Elephas maximus indicus: one gene and its partner. The protein of the gene in region 2 interacts with the protein of the main gene of each other region in a biochemical or structural test. Links are inferred from orthologs where the notes say so. Each region holds a gene or a part of one and is shown on either strand. Other genes may lie near its edges. The genes, in order: EPN1 and REPS2.

Evidence for each region.
Region 1: the proteins of REPS2 (region 2) and EPN1 form a complex in vitro, tested with the Homo sapiens proteins (3 studies listed by BioGRID and IntAct, with this or other methods). The link is inferred for Elephas maximus indicus from reciprocal best matches to the Homo sapiens genes REPS2 and EPN1.

What each region holds. Positions count from the first base shown.
Region 1 is NC_064829.1:91,322,195-91,330,089, forward strand, and holds the start of EPN1 (epsin-1), read right to left. Parts: upstream 3,047-7,895; 5' UTR 2,803-3,046; intron 1-2,802. Other genes in the region: U2AF2 (splicing factor U2AF 65 kDa subunit), read right to left, coding at 4,179-4,313, 7,790-7,895. UniProt on the Homo sapiens protein: Binds to membranes enriched in phosphatidylinositol 4,5-bisphosphate (PtdIns(4,5)P2). Modifies membrane curvature and facilitates the formation of clathrin-coated invaginations. Regulates receptor-mediated endocytosis.
Region 2 is NC_064846.1:162,639,070-162,646,767, reverse strand, and holds the start of REPS2 (ralBP1-associated Eps domain-containing protein 2), read left to right. Parts: upstream 1-4,687; 5' UTR 4,688-4,792; coding exon 4,793-5,017; intron 5,018-7,698. UniProt on the Homo sapiens protein: Involved in ligand-dependent receptor mediated endocytosis of the EGF and insulin receptors as part of the Ral signaling pathway. By controlling growth factor receptors endocytosis may regulate cell survival.

The DNA of each region.
Region 1 (7,895 bases), on a different chromosome or scaffold from region 2:
AGGAACTCAGGGCAAAAAAAGGACACCCGGGATAGTGGGCCACTGAAGAGAATACAAAGCTGGGCAGCGAAAGGATGGGGGAACATCAGGGGAACCCTGCGTCCCAAAGGTGTGAGAAGCTGAAGATCCAGGCGAAGAGAGATAAGGAGTACAACAGCCCCACTGACTGGGTCCTATCTGTGTGCCAGCCCGAGAGAACATTATCTCATTTAACACATTTGTTGTCTCATTTAACACTGCTGCATACAGCATGTCAAGACTACAAATGAGGGGCCCGGGCTCGTGAAAGTTAAACAATTCAACCAAGGTCACACCCCAGGATCAGGGCAGCATAGGGATAAATACCTAGGCCCACCTCCAAAACATATACTGCTCACATTTAAATTTACTGACACTAAATTAAGAGGGCAGTGGTGGTTCAGGATTCTCACCTTCCATGCAGGAGGTGCGGGTTCAATTCCTGGTCAATACACCTCATGCATAGCTACCAGCCATCTGCCAGTGGAGGCTTGCAAGTTGCTGTGACGCTGAGGAGGCTTCAGCAGAGCTTCCAGACTAAGATGGACTAAGAAAGCCCTGGCAATATACTACTGAAACAGGCCAACATACACCCTGTGGGTCACAACAGTCTGATCTCATGTGTGTGGGGTCGCCATGAGCCAAGGGCCAGCTCGACATCAGCTGACAACAACATTAAACTAACCTGGGCTGAGATGAGTGCCACAAGAACAAAAGGAAGGGAATCAAACAAATGATAATGATGATAATGTCGCTGTCGTGTGTCATCGAGCTGATTACAACTCAGAGTGACCCTACAGGAGAGAACAGAACTGCCCCATAAGGTTTCCAAGACTATAAAACTTTATGGAAGCAGACTGCCACATTTTTCTCCTGCAGAGCCTAGTGGATTTGAACTGCTGACCTTTCAGTTAGCAGCCAAGTTTTTAATCACGCGCCACTAGGACTCCTTATGATGATGACACTAAGCACTTACGTGGTTCTTACCTTGTTCCAGGCATTTTCCTAAGTGCTTTATACACACTAACCCAGGTAATCCTTCCAACAAGCCCAGGATTCAGAGCCACTTACAGGGGAGGACAGAGAGAGGAAACGCCCTTTCCCAGGGGCACACAAGTCATCCCCACGAACCTGGATCCCGAGCAGGCTCTGAGCAGCTACTGATGGACAGGTGCTGAGCCCCACAACAACGTAAGTCCCCAGGGCCATGGGGATGAATAAAACAGGCTGGCCCTTGCCTTTGAACTCAGGCCAGAGAGCCAGGCACTCGGAGATAGATGTAAATAGTTGACAAGAGACAGCCAGGGCCCAAGACAGCCAGACACATGAAGACTAAGAGAAAAAGTGACAAAGGCAGATTAGGGGATGACAGAACAGAAACTGAGAGAGACAAGCAGAGAGCGGGAGTCCCGCAGACACAATGAGATGAGCAAAGACACAACAAGAAACAGGGAAAGACAATGAGTGACGCAGGCAGGGAAATGAGAAAAAACAGGCCCTAGAACAGAAACAGGCAGTGACTTGGGACAGAGAAGGCCCAAGAAAATTAGGATATAATGGAAAGTGTGTGGAATTTAGATCCAAATTTTGGCACATAAGCTATAGCAGAGCAGCCTCCTCGAGAGGGAGTTTGTTCAACTCCATAATGAGGAAAAGAATCTCTACCTGGCAGACTAGTTGATTAAATACTATGGGTACATAAAGTGCTTGGCTCCAGGCCCCACAGATAGGAGGCGCTCAATAATGCTGGTTGCTATTATTATCAGAGAAAAAAACAAAAAACCTTTCCAGAAGGGTGGCATCCGAAGATGCATTAACAGCGTGTATTTATCTAAAGCGCGTCCGGAAAAGCACACATCTCGTGCATCAAAGCTAAGATTTTAGATCTTGCTTAGAATGAGGCTTGGTCTTTCAAATTTAAGCTGATTCGAAGAAAAATATCAGGGGCAGTACGGGCAAATACAATATAACAGAAACTACTAAGGCATACTAAATGGAACAGAAAATCTACACAAGCTTCCAGTTAATTACACACTGTCTACCTGCCAGGCAGTGTTCTAGGTGCTTCACAAGCACCGCCTCAACTAACATGCACAGGGACCCTATCATGTGGGAGCTACTGTTACTCCCATTTCAAAGACTAGGAAACTGAGGTTTACGGATAAAAGAAAACACCTGTCAAAATACCATCAACTAGCAAGCAGTAGGGTCTCAGATTCCAGAGTCGGGGATCTTAACCACCACATTCCAGTCTCAGGAAACTAGGTGGGAATGGGGAGAGTCAGATCCTAGCTAGACTCGTGGACGGGGACTTTGGGACTGGAAGTGGTGGTACAGGGGGCAAAAGTGAGAAGTGAAGACAGGAAGAGAAAGAGAAGCCCTAGAGGCAAGAGGATCTAGAGGAGGGCTGGGGACACCTGGGGAGCTGAAGTCACGGAAACTCCCAGAGAGAAATATTGGCAGTCACACAGAGATAAGACAGACACACAGGGACGTCAAGAACACCAAAGCCGACACAGAGACCGACCACCACGGAAGCACACACTGAAGCCGAGAAAAGAGGCAGACGGTGACAGACAGGAGATCAGGCCGGCCGAGGAGAAGACGAAAAGACAAACACAGGGACCCGGACGCGGAGACGCAAAGGCGGCAGAGACGACCAGACCCGAGAACGGACAGCCAGCCTGTCCCGAGGCCCGGCGAAGTCCGCGCGCCGCCGCCCAGGCCCGGGCCGCGGCGCCTGCCGCCTCCCAAGCTGACCCCGCGCCCCGAGCCCGCGCTCACCTCGGCCCCTCACGACGGGCTCCGGGGGGTCATGACGGTCAGCCCCCCTGCCCCCGCTTGGCTTCGGTGTCGCGGGGCGCGCGGCGGGCGACGCAGGCGGAGGCGCGCTCGGACGCACGCGCGGACGCTCCGGAGACCGCACGCCGACCGCCCCGCCGCCCCGGCGCCCGGGAGGGGGCGCGGAGAGCCGGGCCAGGGGAGCGGAGCCGCTCAATAGTCGGGAAGCAACCGAAGGTGACGGACCGGAAGCGGAAATGGCCGCGTCACCCGCCCTCGACGCGCCTGCGCAGTCGCTGCTACCCGCGTACAATCCGCACTTCCTCTGCGCGGCCTCTTGCGCCCGTCGCTAGGCGCAGCTGACCTCACTTCCGCTCGCCGCTGCGGCCGCGAGGTGGGGTGCACGGGCCTCGCGGACTGTGGAGCCGGTTACGCCCCGCAGACTCAAGTTGGCGTCCGAGAGGGGGCTGAGTGCGCCCCCGCTTGTCCTAGCCCCACAGCCACGCCCCGCCGCCAGGTGCCATTAGGCCTCGACCTCACGAGGCCGCCCGCTGCCCCGCGGGGCCCCAAGGCCAGTCCGCGGCACGCTTGCATGCTCACTGCTCTCTGAGACACGCTCTATACCCGACGCTTTACAGACAGGTACGGGCTAGGGATCATGGGTCAGGGACAGCTTGCTCCCGTCCCCCGCAGGAATCCCCGGCAAGCACCCCAGTTTGCCAAGAGGAACCCCCCTGAAAAGGGTTAGACAGACCAGACACAGAGCAGCTCCATAAGTAAAATACAACAAAATGTTTAATGAGCAAATTCGTCTTAGCAAATATGAAACTGCCACAGAGAGTAGGAGGGGGATAGGGGCCACAGGGTTGGGAACAGGTCTGGCTAAGACTAAAGAGGAGAGAATCAACTACATAAGAAACCAGGGAGCGACCAGAAAGGGCCAGAGGCCAAGAGGGCAGGAACTGTGGTCCTGGAAAGGGGCTGGACACTGGGGGCCGGACAACAAAATTCAAAAGTTTGGCCATAAAATATAAACACGCTATGTTCCTACCAAGGGGAAGAGGAGGGGAAGGTACAAGGGAGGAAGAGAGGCTTTGTGGGGAGGGGCGTGGGGGTCCTAACCCGCCCTGTGTGCACCCATCCCCATCCCAATCCTGCCCTCTGTGTCTTCGGGCGCGTGTGTCTGTGGGCGCTGGGCGCATGTGTACACTTCCCCATCCCCCCGCCCCCACCCCACCCCAATCGCTGCCATTCCAGTTGCTGCCGGCTGTCACTCGGCTGTCACTCCTCTGCCCATCGTCTTCAGAGGGGGAAAAGAGGGGGGCGGGAAGGGAGGAAGCCCCCCTGCCAGCCCTGGCCCTGCCTTCCCCCGGCCGCCTCTACCAGAAGTCCCGGCGGTGGTAAGAGTCGGGGTCACAGTATTTTGTGACAACCACTCTGTTGGCGAACTTGCGGCCCGTCAGGCCCTGCATGGCTTTCTGGCAGTCAAACACGGAGGTGAACTCCACAAAGATCTGTGGAAACAACAGGCAGGTATGAAGGCCAGACAGAAGAACAGGTGGGCACACTCCTAGCAACCCACAAGAACACAAACCCAGCACTCAGGACAGAGGGCTCAGCAGGAAGAAGGGCCTGCACAGAGGCGGCCTTGGTGCAGGTGTGGGGCGTTTACTCCAAGTTCCTTCAGAGCCCCCAGGAACAAGAGACTGCACAGCAGAGGCATCAGTGAGAGAACAGCCACACAAGGGACACACCAGCTCCCAGAGGCCGAGAGCAACAGCGCTGAGGTCTACTCTGCATAGACACTGGGAGGCACTCCCCAAGTGACTCCCAGGGCCAGGTTCTCCCTCAGACAACAGATAGAGGAAGGGACGCTCAGAAATTAGGAACAATAACCTTCAGAGCCAGAGTGGAAGGAGAGCTAAGACAGAAGAGAAAGCCACGTTAAAAAACTAAACTGCCTGATCTACTAACGCTTCTAACACCAGTTTACAGGAAACTGGAGGGGCAGGCGGAGGGATACGATACAATGGGCTTAATCCAAAACATGGAACGTTCTGTAGGACAAATGGAAACCCTGAAGGCATAATGGTTAAGAGCTACGGCTGCTAACCAAAAAGTCAGCAGTTCAGATCCACCACCAGGCGCTCCTCGGAATCCCTATGGGACAGTTCTACTCTCTCCTATAGGGTCGCTATGAGTCAGAACTGACTCGATGGCAATGGGATGGATAGGACAAATGACCCCGTTTCCTCAACAAATAAAACTGCTTGACCAAAAAAAAAAGGGGGGCGGCGGGTAGAACTGGTAGAAATTAGGAGAAACTGTAACCAAGTATAAGGTGAGGCCCTTGTTTGGATCTCTGCAGAAACAAATTAGCTGTAAAAACACATTAGACAGGGACATGAACATGGAATGACTAAATACTAAGGAATCCATGTTAATGTTGTTCAAATAAATGGTGTCATGGTTTCATTAAAATAAGCAGTGTTTCTCAGCCTGGGCTAATATTGTCCCCCAGGATGGGACACTAGGCAGTTACAACTGGGGGCAGGGGTGCTATTGGCTTCTACTGTGCAGAGGCCAGGGCCACTGTTCACCATCCTGAAATGTGCAGCATGTTCCCACCACAGAGAATGAGCCCACCTGAAATGTCACTAGTTGAGAAATTAACCTACTGAAGTATTTCAAGTAACGGTAGGTACAATACTGTCATATTTTCTCTCTACTTTTATGCATGTTTGAAAAGGTCCACAATAAAGTTTCAAAACAGCAGGGGGCAAGATGTAGTTACTGCTTATGTAGAAATGAGTTGCAGTTTAGAGAGATGGAAAAAGCACACTGATTAAGGGAAGGGATAATTACGAAGCCAATTAATGTAGTTTTTGTCAAGTTACATAACTGTAAGAAGTTGAGCTGGCGAAATTGTGATATATTTACAATGACAAGAGAAAAGACAAAAATTGGCTGCTGAAGCTGCTTATATATTCAACGAACCACCTCAAGGAATTTGGTTCCTGGGTTTAGTGGTTTAGGGTCATGGTTTCATGAGACATCCCAGTTATTTGCCCTATAAATGTTATTTTCTGCCTCCTAGCTCACTGCATAATGCCCGGGGTCTTAAAAGCTTGCCAGCAACCATCCAAGGCACAACTGGTCTCTATTCTCTTGGAGCAAAAGAGGTAAAAAGAAAAGTCAGGAATAGGAGGCATAAATGCAATGTGTAGCTACTTGCTTCCATGAACAACTGCCTCCCTTGCCAGTTACAATTCAGTGACTTCTCAGAAGTGCTGCAGAGTTCTGGGCTACTATCAGTGAACATTTTGACCAAAGATTCCATAAAAGAATCCTAATCAGAAAGGTGAAAATGCAGAACAGAATGTCAAATTCTCAGGGACTACAGATTTTCTGGTGCAACGGAGGGTGGATGAATCCCTGAAAACTACTGCCCTGAGGCAAACTATCAACCTTAAACCTAAAATCATCTTAAAACCAAACAACAATTTAGCTTAACTAGTTAAAAAAAAAAAAAGTCTGCCTTGAGAATTATGCTCTTTTAACAACTATCTGTATCTTTAACCATCTGTATCTGATCAAAGTGGCAACTGCAACTCAAAAGATTAGATAGGAACCTTAGGGGACAGTGAATTTATGTTAATGGGAGAGGAACAACTCTCCCATTAACATGGGTGAGAATGGTTGCACAACCCAAAGAATGTAATCACTGAACTTTAAGTGTAGGAACAGTTGAATTGGTGTATGTTTTGCCATGTATATTCTCAACAACAGAATTAATTTAAAATAGTAACAGGAAATGCAGTACCAATGAAGACAAGAAGAAAAGGCTAAAATTTTAAAAATCTACATGGGATCAAATTGACAACTTGAAAGATAGGAAACTTAGGGGGCAGTGAGTTCACATTAATGGGGGAACTCAGAAGAGGGTGAGAATGCTGCACAAGAATGTAATCAACACCACTGAACTGTACATGTAAAAATTGTTAAACTGGTATATGTTCTGCTATACATATTCTCAACAACACAAATTATATTTAAACAAAACAGGTTGGCAATGCCAGAGCCTGGGGTTCTTCCTTTCCTGCTTCCCACCAGTGCTCGCTCAGCCCCTACTTTGAGCCAGGCTCCATTCTAGACACCAGACCACAACCTGGAGCAGCCCTGACAAGAACCCTCCAGGACTCCGGCCATTTATACCACACCCAGTGAGAAGGGGGCAAGAAAGCAGCCGAAAGAGGCTACTATCTTCCTCCTCCATGAGTGCACAGAGCCGGGACAATGGGACTCCGGGGGCTCCACCCATGCCTGTGTGGCCTGTGACCTCTCTGTACCCACACCTCCTCCTGTAGCAGGGACTGGCTGCAACCCCAGACAGATCAGGGAGCACTGCTGTGAGAACAGTCACATATGCAATATGCACAGCTCAGGCAGGGCAACGAGCACAGAGTGGACACCAGTGAGTTTGCAGCTTCTAAAACTTCACAAAGCACCCAAGGTTCAGAGAAGTGTCACCTACACAAGATGACGTAAAGCAGCAGCAGCAGAGCCAGGTTCTGCACCAAGGTGACCTCTATACAGAGTCCAAGGTTCATGGCCACAACGCTGTATGCCCAACTGCCTGCTAACATGGCTATCCACCAAGGGGGCCCCAGTGGGCCACACACCTCTCAGCTCCCCAGAATCTCCCTGGAGCCATGCCCAGAGGGGGCACTCAGTAGTGATGGTGGTGGGGGGTGTGTGTGTGAGACACACATGTGGGGAGATGCATGCCCAAACGAAGGCACACATGAGGACACACACATGGGCACAGGGACGGGTACACAGAGGAACACGTGCTCGTGAGGTACAGATACACATATGGGAACACACACACACACTAGGGGACACACACAGGTAGACCCATGAGGACACGCACACACGGAGCAACAGGCACACACAAGGACATGCATGCCAAGCCCCTGGCTGCCCTGACCTTTCCACAGCCGGGCACCTCAACGCCGTCCACGGGCCGAGGAATCTCAATGGACTTGACAAGCCCATACTTGCTGCACTCGTCACGCACATCCTCCACAATCTCC
Region 2 (7,698 bases):
GTAGAGTTCAGGGTATTTTCAAGACAGTGAAACTATTCTGTAGGATACTGTAATGGTGGGCACATGACATTATGCATTTGTCAAAACCCATAGGACTATAGAAGGCAGAGTGAACCCTAAGTTCAGTTAATACTAATGTATCATAGTGATTCCTCCATTGTAACAAATGGACCACAGGGATGCACCATGTAAACAATAGGAGAAACAGTGTGAGGGGAAGAGGGGGGCCTAAGGACATTCTGTACTTTCTGCACACCTAAAACTGCTCTAAGAAATGAAACATTTTTTTAAAAGCAAGTTTATAAAAACACACATGCTAAATCACTGCTGCTTGATCGCTTCACATCCTCGAGCGAACAGCCTTCACTCTGCTTCTCAGAGCCCTTCAGGGCTGCCTGTCTTTCCTTACCCAGTATTATTGTTGTTGTTGGGTGCCTGTTGACTTGATTGCAACTCATCGCCACGCCGTATCCATATAACAGATTAGTAAGGTTTTCTTGGTTGTAATCTTTCGGGGAGCAGACTGCCAGGTCTTTTTCCTGTGGATCCGCTAGGTGGGTTTGAACCACCAACCTTTCAGTTAGCATCTGAGCGCCTAACCGTTTGCACCACCAGGACTGCTGTCCCTCTAGTCCTCGCTTCCTTGGCTCCTCCTTCTCCTGTGATGCTACCTCTCTGTCCTGTCCTTTCTCTTCCCCAACCCCACCCATTTATCACCAGCCCCTTCATCAAGCCTTCCTGGTTGGGCTCTAGCTCAGGGATTTTTCTCTTCTCTAAACTCCCACAGCACTTAGCCTGGGGTGCACAATTTAGCACTTAATTATATATTGTCTTTTATTGTTTGTTTTTGTTTCCTCTTTTTCACGAGGGCTGCATACTCCTTGAAAGAACACATTTTGTGTGAATGTGTATGTGTATCACAGTACTCTAGTAGGGCCATGGTAAATGCTTCCTGTTCCACCAATACATGTTGTCTGAGTGATGGATTGATAGGTACAGATGGGAGACTCTTGACCTATCTCTGCAGTATCTGCAGCTTAATAAGTATCTGTCAGATTTATTAAACTGAGTTGAGTAATGAAGAAGATCAGCTTTGAACTGGGTATTCAGCTGGGCAAATCATATCAACTCTGCATCCATTTTTTCATCTGCAAAATGGAGATAAAAGTGTCTTCAGCCTACCTCAGAGAGTTATTGTGAGACTTAAATGAATAATGTGTATGAAAGTGCTTTGAAAAGTCACCAATCACTATATGAACTATAAATATTCTTGTATCTCACATTTCCTTTGCCATGAGTCACAGGGGAAAGTAGGGTTTGGTGTTTATCATGGAGAGGGGGGGTCCCTTTGCAACCTTTGTTCGAATGGTGTGCCACTCTCAGGGAAGCCTGAGAACAACTGGAAAGGTTGTTTTTTTAGTTGCTGTCTAGATGGCTGATACTTATGATGACCTTATGTATAACAGAACGAAACATTGCCTGGTCTTATGCCATCTCCATGATCTTTGAGATGTTTGAGGCCATTATTGCGGCTGTCACTTCTATCCATCTCACTGATGGTTTCCCTTGTTTTCACTGATCCTCTACTTTACCGAACGAGATATCCTTTTATAGCAATTGGTCTTTCCTGATGATGGGTCCAAAATAAGCGAGTTGAAGTCTCACCATCCTCACTTCTAAGGAACATTCTGATTGTATTTCTTCTAAGACTGATTTGTTCATTCTTTTGGCAGCCCATGGTATATTCAGTATTCTTCGCCAACACCACAGTTGGAACATATCAGTTCTTTTTCTGTCTTCTGTTTTCATTATCCAACTTTCGCATACATATGAAGTGTTTGAAAAGACAATGGCTTGGGTCAGATGCACCTTAGTCATCAAAACTGACAGATGGGTGGTGGACTAGAAAGGTAAGAAGAGAATAGCATTATCTCTTGGCTTCTACTTTTCCTGACTCCAGTGTAGATGCTTAAGGAGCTAGGATGATGTTGACTATTTGAGTTATATTTTAAATTTTGGTGATATGGGAAGGTATTACAGTAGTGGAAAATACAAAGGTGGTGAGATTTCGAAACGGAAATTCCTAAGCTAAGTTAGTCTTCACTGCTTGGAACTTACCTACCCTTTCTGTACCCTTGTTCCCAAGCCTATTGATATCTTAATTCTCTTCTGGGAGATCTGAATCTTTCTTCAGATTGCGAAAGAGACACATTGCTCTGGCCATCCTTATGAAGTTGACATTTTTCCTTTTCCTTCTTATGTATTGCTCTTCCTCTATCCCTTTTTTTTTCATCTTGATCATCTCCTGATTATTTTTCCTTCTTATCTTTTTCTGTCCTTGATCCTTATTTTAGTTGGCCATAATACCAAGGTATATTTATTATCATCAGTGGTATTTCTTGAGATGTCTTTTTCTGTTCTTAATTTATTTATACAAATAATTTATTTTGTTGTTGTTATTGAGAATACACCCAGCAAAAAATACACCAACTTAAGTTTCTACATGTACAATTCAGTGACATTGATTACATTCTTTGAGTCGTGCAACGATGCTCACCCTCCTTTTCTGAGTTGTTTCTCCCGTTAACTGTTTTTAATTAAAACTATTGGGGCAAAAGTTTTATATATCTCTTTATTAAAGCAATTTCTAAAATGGAATTTTTTTTTTTTATTGGTGCTTCACCCTGGACTGATTTCTTTTTCCCCTTTGGTTAGTATTTCCCAGCTAGGCTTAATGAATATAATTCTGCCATCCTTCTCAGGAATATTGACATTTCAAGAGCTGCCACTGACTGGCCGTGTGACCTCAGTCACTTATTCCTCTTTCAGCTGGGAAGTAGCTACCAGTAAAAAAACCCGTTGCCCTTGAGTCAATCCAATTCATGGCGATCCCATGTGCTTCAAAGTAGAGTTGCCCTCCCCAGGGTTTTCATAGCTGTGACCTTTCAGAAGCAGACTACCAGGTCTTTCTTCCAAGACGCCTCAGGGAGGATCTGAACTGCCAAACTCTCTGTTAGCAGCCGAGTGTGCTAAAAAAGGAAAAGAGATGCAAATATGCAGGCCTGATGATGGAATTGCCAGTGCAGTCAGTGGTGGGGTAAACATTTTCCTTCCAGTGGAGTCTTTTCAAGTCTTTCTCTTAAAAGTGGCTAGAGCAATAGTCAAGGGAACTGACGATGGAGCAAGCAGATTTGAAAAATATAGTGTGCACACTTTAGAATGGAGAGAAATGGAGGGTCACATGGGCAGGGGTCTAAAGATGTAGGTTCTAGTGTTGACTTTGGTGTGAACTTGTACAAGTCTTGCAGCCTTTTAAAAAAACATGACTGTTTTCCCACCTAAAGAAACATTCCCTTTGGGGGGCACCAACCCCCTCTTACTGAGGCCTGTATTTTCAGGCCCTAGAGGATACACCAGAAACCCTGGTGACATAGTGGTTAAGAGCTACGGCTGCTACCCAAAAGGTCAGCAGTTTGAATCCACCAGGCGCTCCTTGGAACCTCTATGGGGTAGTTCTACTCTGTCCTATATGGCTGCTATGAGTCGGAATCAACTCCACAGCAATTGATTGGGTTTGGTTTTTGGTTTAGAGGATAAACCTTTTACCCGTTGCCATCTAATTGATTCCAACTCATAGCAACCCTTTAGCACAGAGTAGGACTGCCTCATAGGGTTCCAAGGCTGTAATCTTTACTGGAGCAGACTGCCACATCTTTCTCCCCACAGAGCGGCTGGTGGGTTCCAACCACAGACCTTTCAATTAGCAGCTGAGCGCTTAACCACTGCTCTACCAGAGCTCCTTGTTACACAGTAGATATTCAACCAGTGTTGGATGAATGAAGGTGCAAATCAAATAGCACTGTTTCCTCATCTGTAAAAGAAGGAGTTGGACAAAATGATCTCCCAAAAGGACCTTTTTGTTTCTGTTGTTGTTGTTAGGTGCCCTCCAGTCGATTTCAATTTATAGCGACCCCATGTGACAGAGTGGAACTGCCCCATAGGGTTTTCTTGGCTGTAATCTTTATGAGCCGATTGCCAGGTTTTCCTCTTGCGGAGCGTTTCACTTTTTTGCTCCTATTACTCTAATATTTAACACTAAATATTTAACACCATCCTATGTTATTCCTTGTTAAGGCTCAAGCTCAGGTTTGAAGCATTCTTGAGAAAGTGGCTTAACCCAGTTGCCACCCCGAACGCTATGGGGAGTCACTGCTATGGGGAGCCACTGCGACCTCGTTCGGATGGGGATCCCTGTCCTGCAGCTTTTCAGGACATAAGCAGTGCTGATATGGAAAGAAGGAAATCAACTTTCCCATGCCACATCCCTTTTCTGGGAAGGGCCTGGCGCGGCGTGGGCACCACACCTGCTCCACCCTCCTAGGGAGAAAGCACGGCCTTCTGCGTCCCTGAACTCGTCCTTCTCCAGGTGGGTCCAGACGGCCCTCTTTCCAGCTAGGGCGGAGCGATCAAGACGGCGCTCCTGCGCAGCTGGGCGCGGCGCTGAGCCCCCGGCGCAGGCCCAGCAGGTGAGGGGCAGGGGGCGGGCAGCGCGCCAGTTAGCTACCTGGCGCGGGCGGGGCGGGGCGGGGCGCGGCGGGGCGGGGCGGGTGCGGGCGCCCCCGGGCGGCGATTGGCCGGCACGGGCCTGTCTCCATGTGCCGCGCGGCGGAGGCACAACATTCAAGCCGGGGGCGGGGCGCTCGCCGGAGGAAGCGGCGGCGCGGCGGCAGCTGCAGGGCGTGGGGGCGGTGGCGAGGCCCCAGCCGGCTCGGCGGTGCGGGTCGTGCAGGCCATGGAGGTAGCCGGCGGGGGCGGCTCGGGGCCGCCGCTGCTGCTGAGCGACGCCGAGCAGCAGTGCTACTCCGAGCTGTTCGCGCGCTGCGCCGGAGCCGCGGGCGGGGGCCCCTCCGGACCCCCCGAGGCCGCCCGCGCTGTCCCCGGCGCAGCCACGGCTGCTGCTGGCCCGGTGGCCGACCTGTTCCGGGCGTCGCAGCTGCCCGCCGAGACGCTGCACCAGGTAGGACCCTGCGGCCCCTGCTCCTGCGCGTCGGTGGGGACCGTGTCTGCAGGAACGTGGGGGCGGGGCGGCCAGGGGCCCGGAGGCCTCGGCCAGGTAGCAGAGATGGGGCTCCGCAGCCGGGGATGGCGGCGACGACGCCCTTGACCCCCGGGGACACCTAGCTCCTCCACAGCTCAGCCCCTTCACAAGGCTGGGTGCGCTGTAGGTTTTCCTTCCTGGAGACGGGCTGACACTCCCCCCACCCCCTGGCCATTTCTGGGCTCTGCAGCCACCCAGACTCAAAGTTTGCCCTGTTCTGGAAGTGGTGTTTGTTTTGGCTGGTGTCTGGGTTAACCTCTGCTCTTCTCTCCTGCCCCTCCCTCCCCTAGGCGGATGGGAAGGGAGTGGGGGTGCTCAGGGTGCCTTGCTGGGATTTGAACTTGAAGGAGGTATGTGCCTGTAGGGCTGGGGGCCCAGGACTAAATGTTGTCCTCTGTATACTTGTACGGCATACACATAGCTACTAGATGTATTTGTCCACTCACCTATTTCTTAGTATTAGTATTAGTATTAAGCTGGAAAACCTTAAAGACAAGTTTCAGAGCAGGAACACAGGGCTGCGAGACAACTTCTATCAAGTCAAAGCCAAGCTTGCCATTTTGGAGCTGGAGGTGTATCCCAGACGTACACTGTGGAGAGCAGCTGTAGCTTCCGATCTTAGCATTACTTGAACTTGAAATAGAATTGGAAGGAAACGAGTGTTATAGCTCCCTCCTTTTCGCCACCCCCAACCTGGAAAAGCGGGTGGGGGGCGGGGATTGAGCCACAGCAGATGCCGTTTTATGCTTTCCTTGGAGAAAGACTACTTGATACGCACTTTGCCTTTGGATGCCGCCAGCACTTCATGGTGATAAGATTCTTAATACCAGGCACAGAATGGGAAATGAAGCTTTTCTTAAAATCAATTCTCAGTTTTACAGTTATTGACACCAATAGAATATTTAGAGTGGTGATTGATATTTTAAAGTCTGGTTCCAAAGGAGTATTGAGGGTTTTGTGGTTCATTTTCAATATCACTATTTGTAGGTATTTTCTATTCATTTACGACTGTGTTTTTTGCTGTTGGAGTGTGCTTATGCCCTTATGTTTGTGAGTGTCTTGTTGTTGAGTGCCTTCAAGTCGATTTCGACTCTTAGTAAGTCTATAGGACGGAGTAGAACTGCCCTGTAGGGTTTTACCTAGGATGAAATCTTTACGCACATCGCCGGATCTTTTGTCCTGCGGAGCCTTTGCAGCTGCAGACCTTTTGGTTAGCAGTCAAGTGCTTAACCATTGCACCACCAGGGCACCTCTCCACCTTTTAGAAGTTAGGATTTCTGAAGATGGTGTTAGTATTCACAGATGTTAGCATGGCTGTTTGTACCCAAAGAAGTCCACAATATGTAGACAGTTCTGCTACTGCTGTTTAGCAGTTGAGTTGGAGCGCCTCGGTGTATGCATCTGTAAAATGATAGCATGGTTTTCATGGACATTGAAGCAGTGTCTGTAAGTCACTCTGAAGCCTTCGGAGGGAAAGTCGTGTCTTAAAACATAAACCATGGCTGTTACGTGAGGCCCTGAGGATACTCTCAAGCACAACGTATTTATTAAAGGCCATAGCTACTGCCATGAAGTTCCTGGGTGGTACACAAGATTAACACACTCGGCTGCTAACAGAGAGGTTGGCAGTTCAGATCCTCCCTGAGGTGTCTTGGAAGAAAGACCTGGCAGTCTGCTTCTGAAAGGTCACAGCTATGAAAACCCTGGGGAGGGCAGCTCTACTTTGAAGCACATGGGCTCGCCATGAATTGGATTGACTCAAGGGCAACGGGTTTTTTTACTGGTAGCTACTTCCCAGCTGAAAGAGGAATAAGTGACTGAGATCACACAGCCAGTCAGTTGCAGCTGGGAACCTGTTCAGGCGTATTGTGTTGTCAGTACTACGTTGAGCGAAGAGCCCCTGTGGCGCAGTGGTTAAAGCGTTCAGCTATGAACCAAAAGGTCGGCCGTTTGAACCCACCAGCCGCTCCTCAGGAGGAAGATGTGCCAGTCTGCTTCTGTGGAGATTTACGGTCTTGGAAACCCGACGGGGCAGTTCTACTCTGTCCTGTAGGGTTTCTATGAGTCGGAATGACTGGATGGCAGTGGCAGTACACTGTGTTGAGAGGAGGTGGGCAAATTCAGTGTGAATGTGCTGTTGACTCTTCAGCAGTCAGGGAGGGGGCTTTCTTGGTATTAGAACCCATGCTCCTTTGAGGCATATGTGATTTTAAAAGAACCCAAGGCAGAGTGCCTTTGCATAAATGGGATTATATTCTTCTTAAAAAATTTGATTTTATTGTGCTTTAGGTGAAAGTTTACAGCTCAAGTTAGCTTCTCATATAAAAATTTTATACACATTGTTATGTGACCCTAGTTGCCATCCCTGTAATGTGACAGTACACTCCCTCTTTCACCCCAGATTTCTCGTGTCCATTCACCTAGCTCCTATCCCTTTCTGCCTTCTCACCTCGTCTCTGGACAGGAGCTGCTCATTTAGTCTCATGTATCTACTTGAGCTAAGAAGCACACTCTTCACAAGTATCATTAATGTCTTATAGTCTAATCTGTGAAGAGTTGGCTTTGGGAGTGGTTTTAGTTCTGGGTTAACAGAGAGTCCG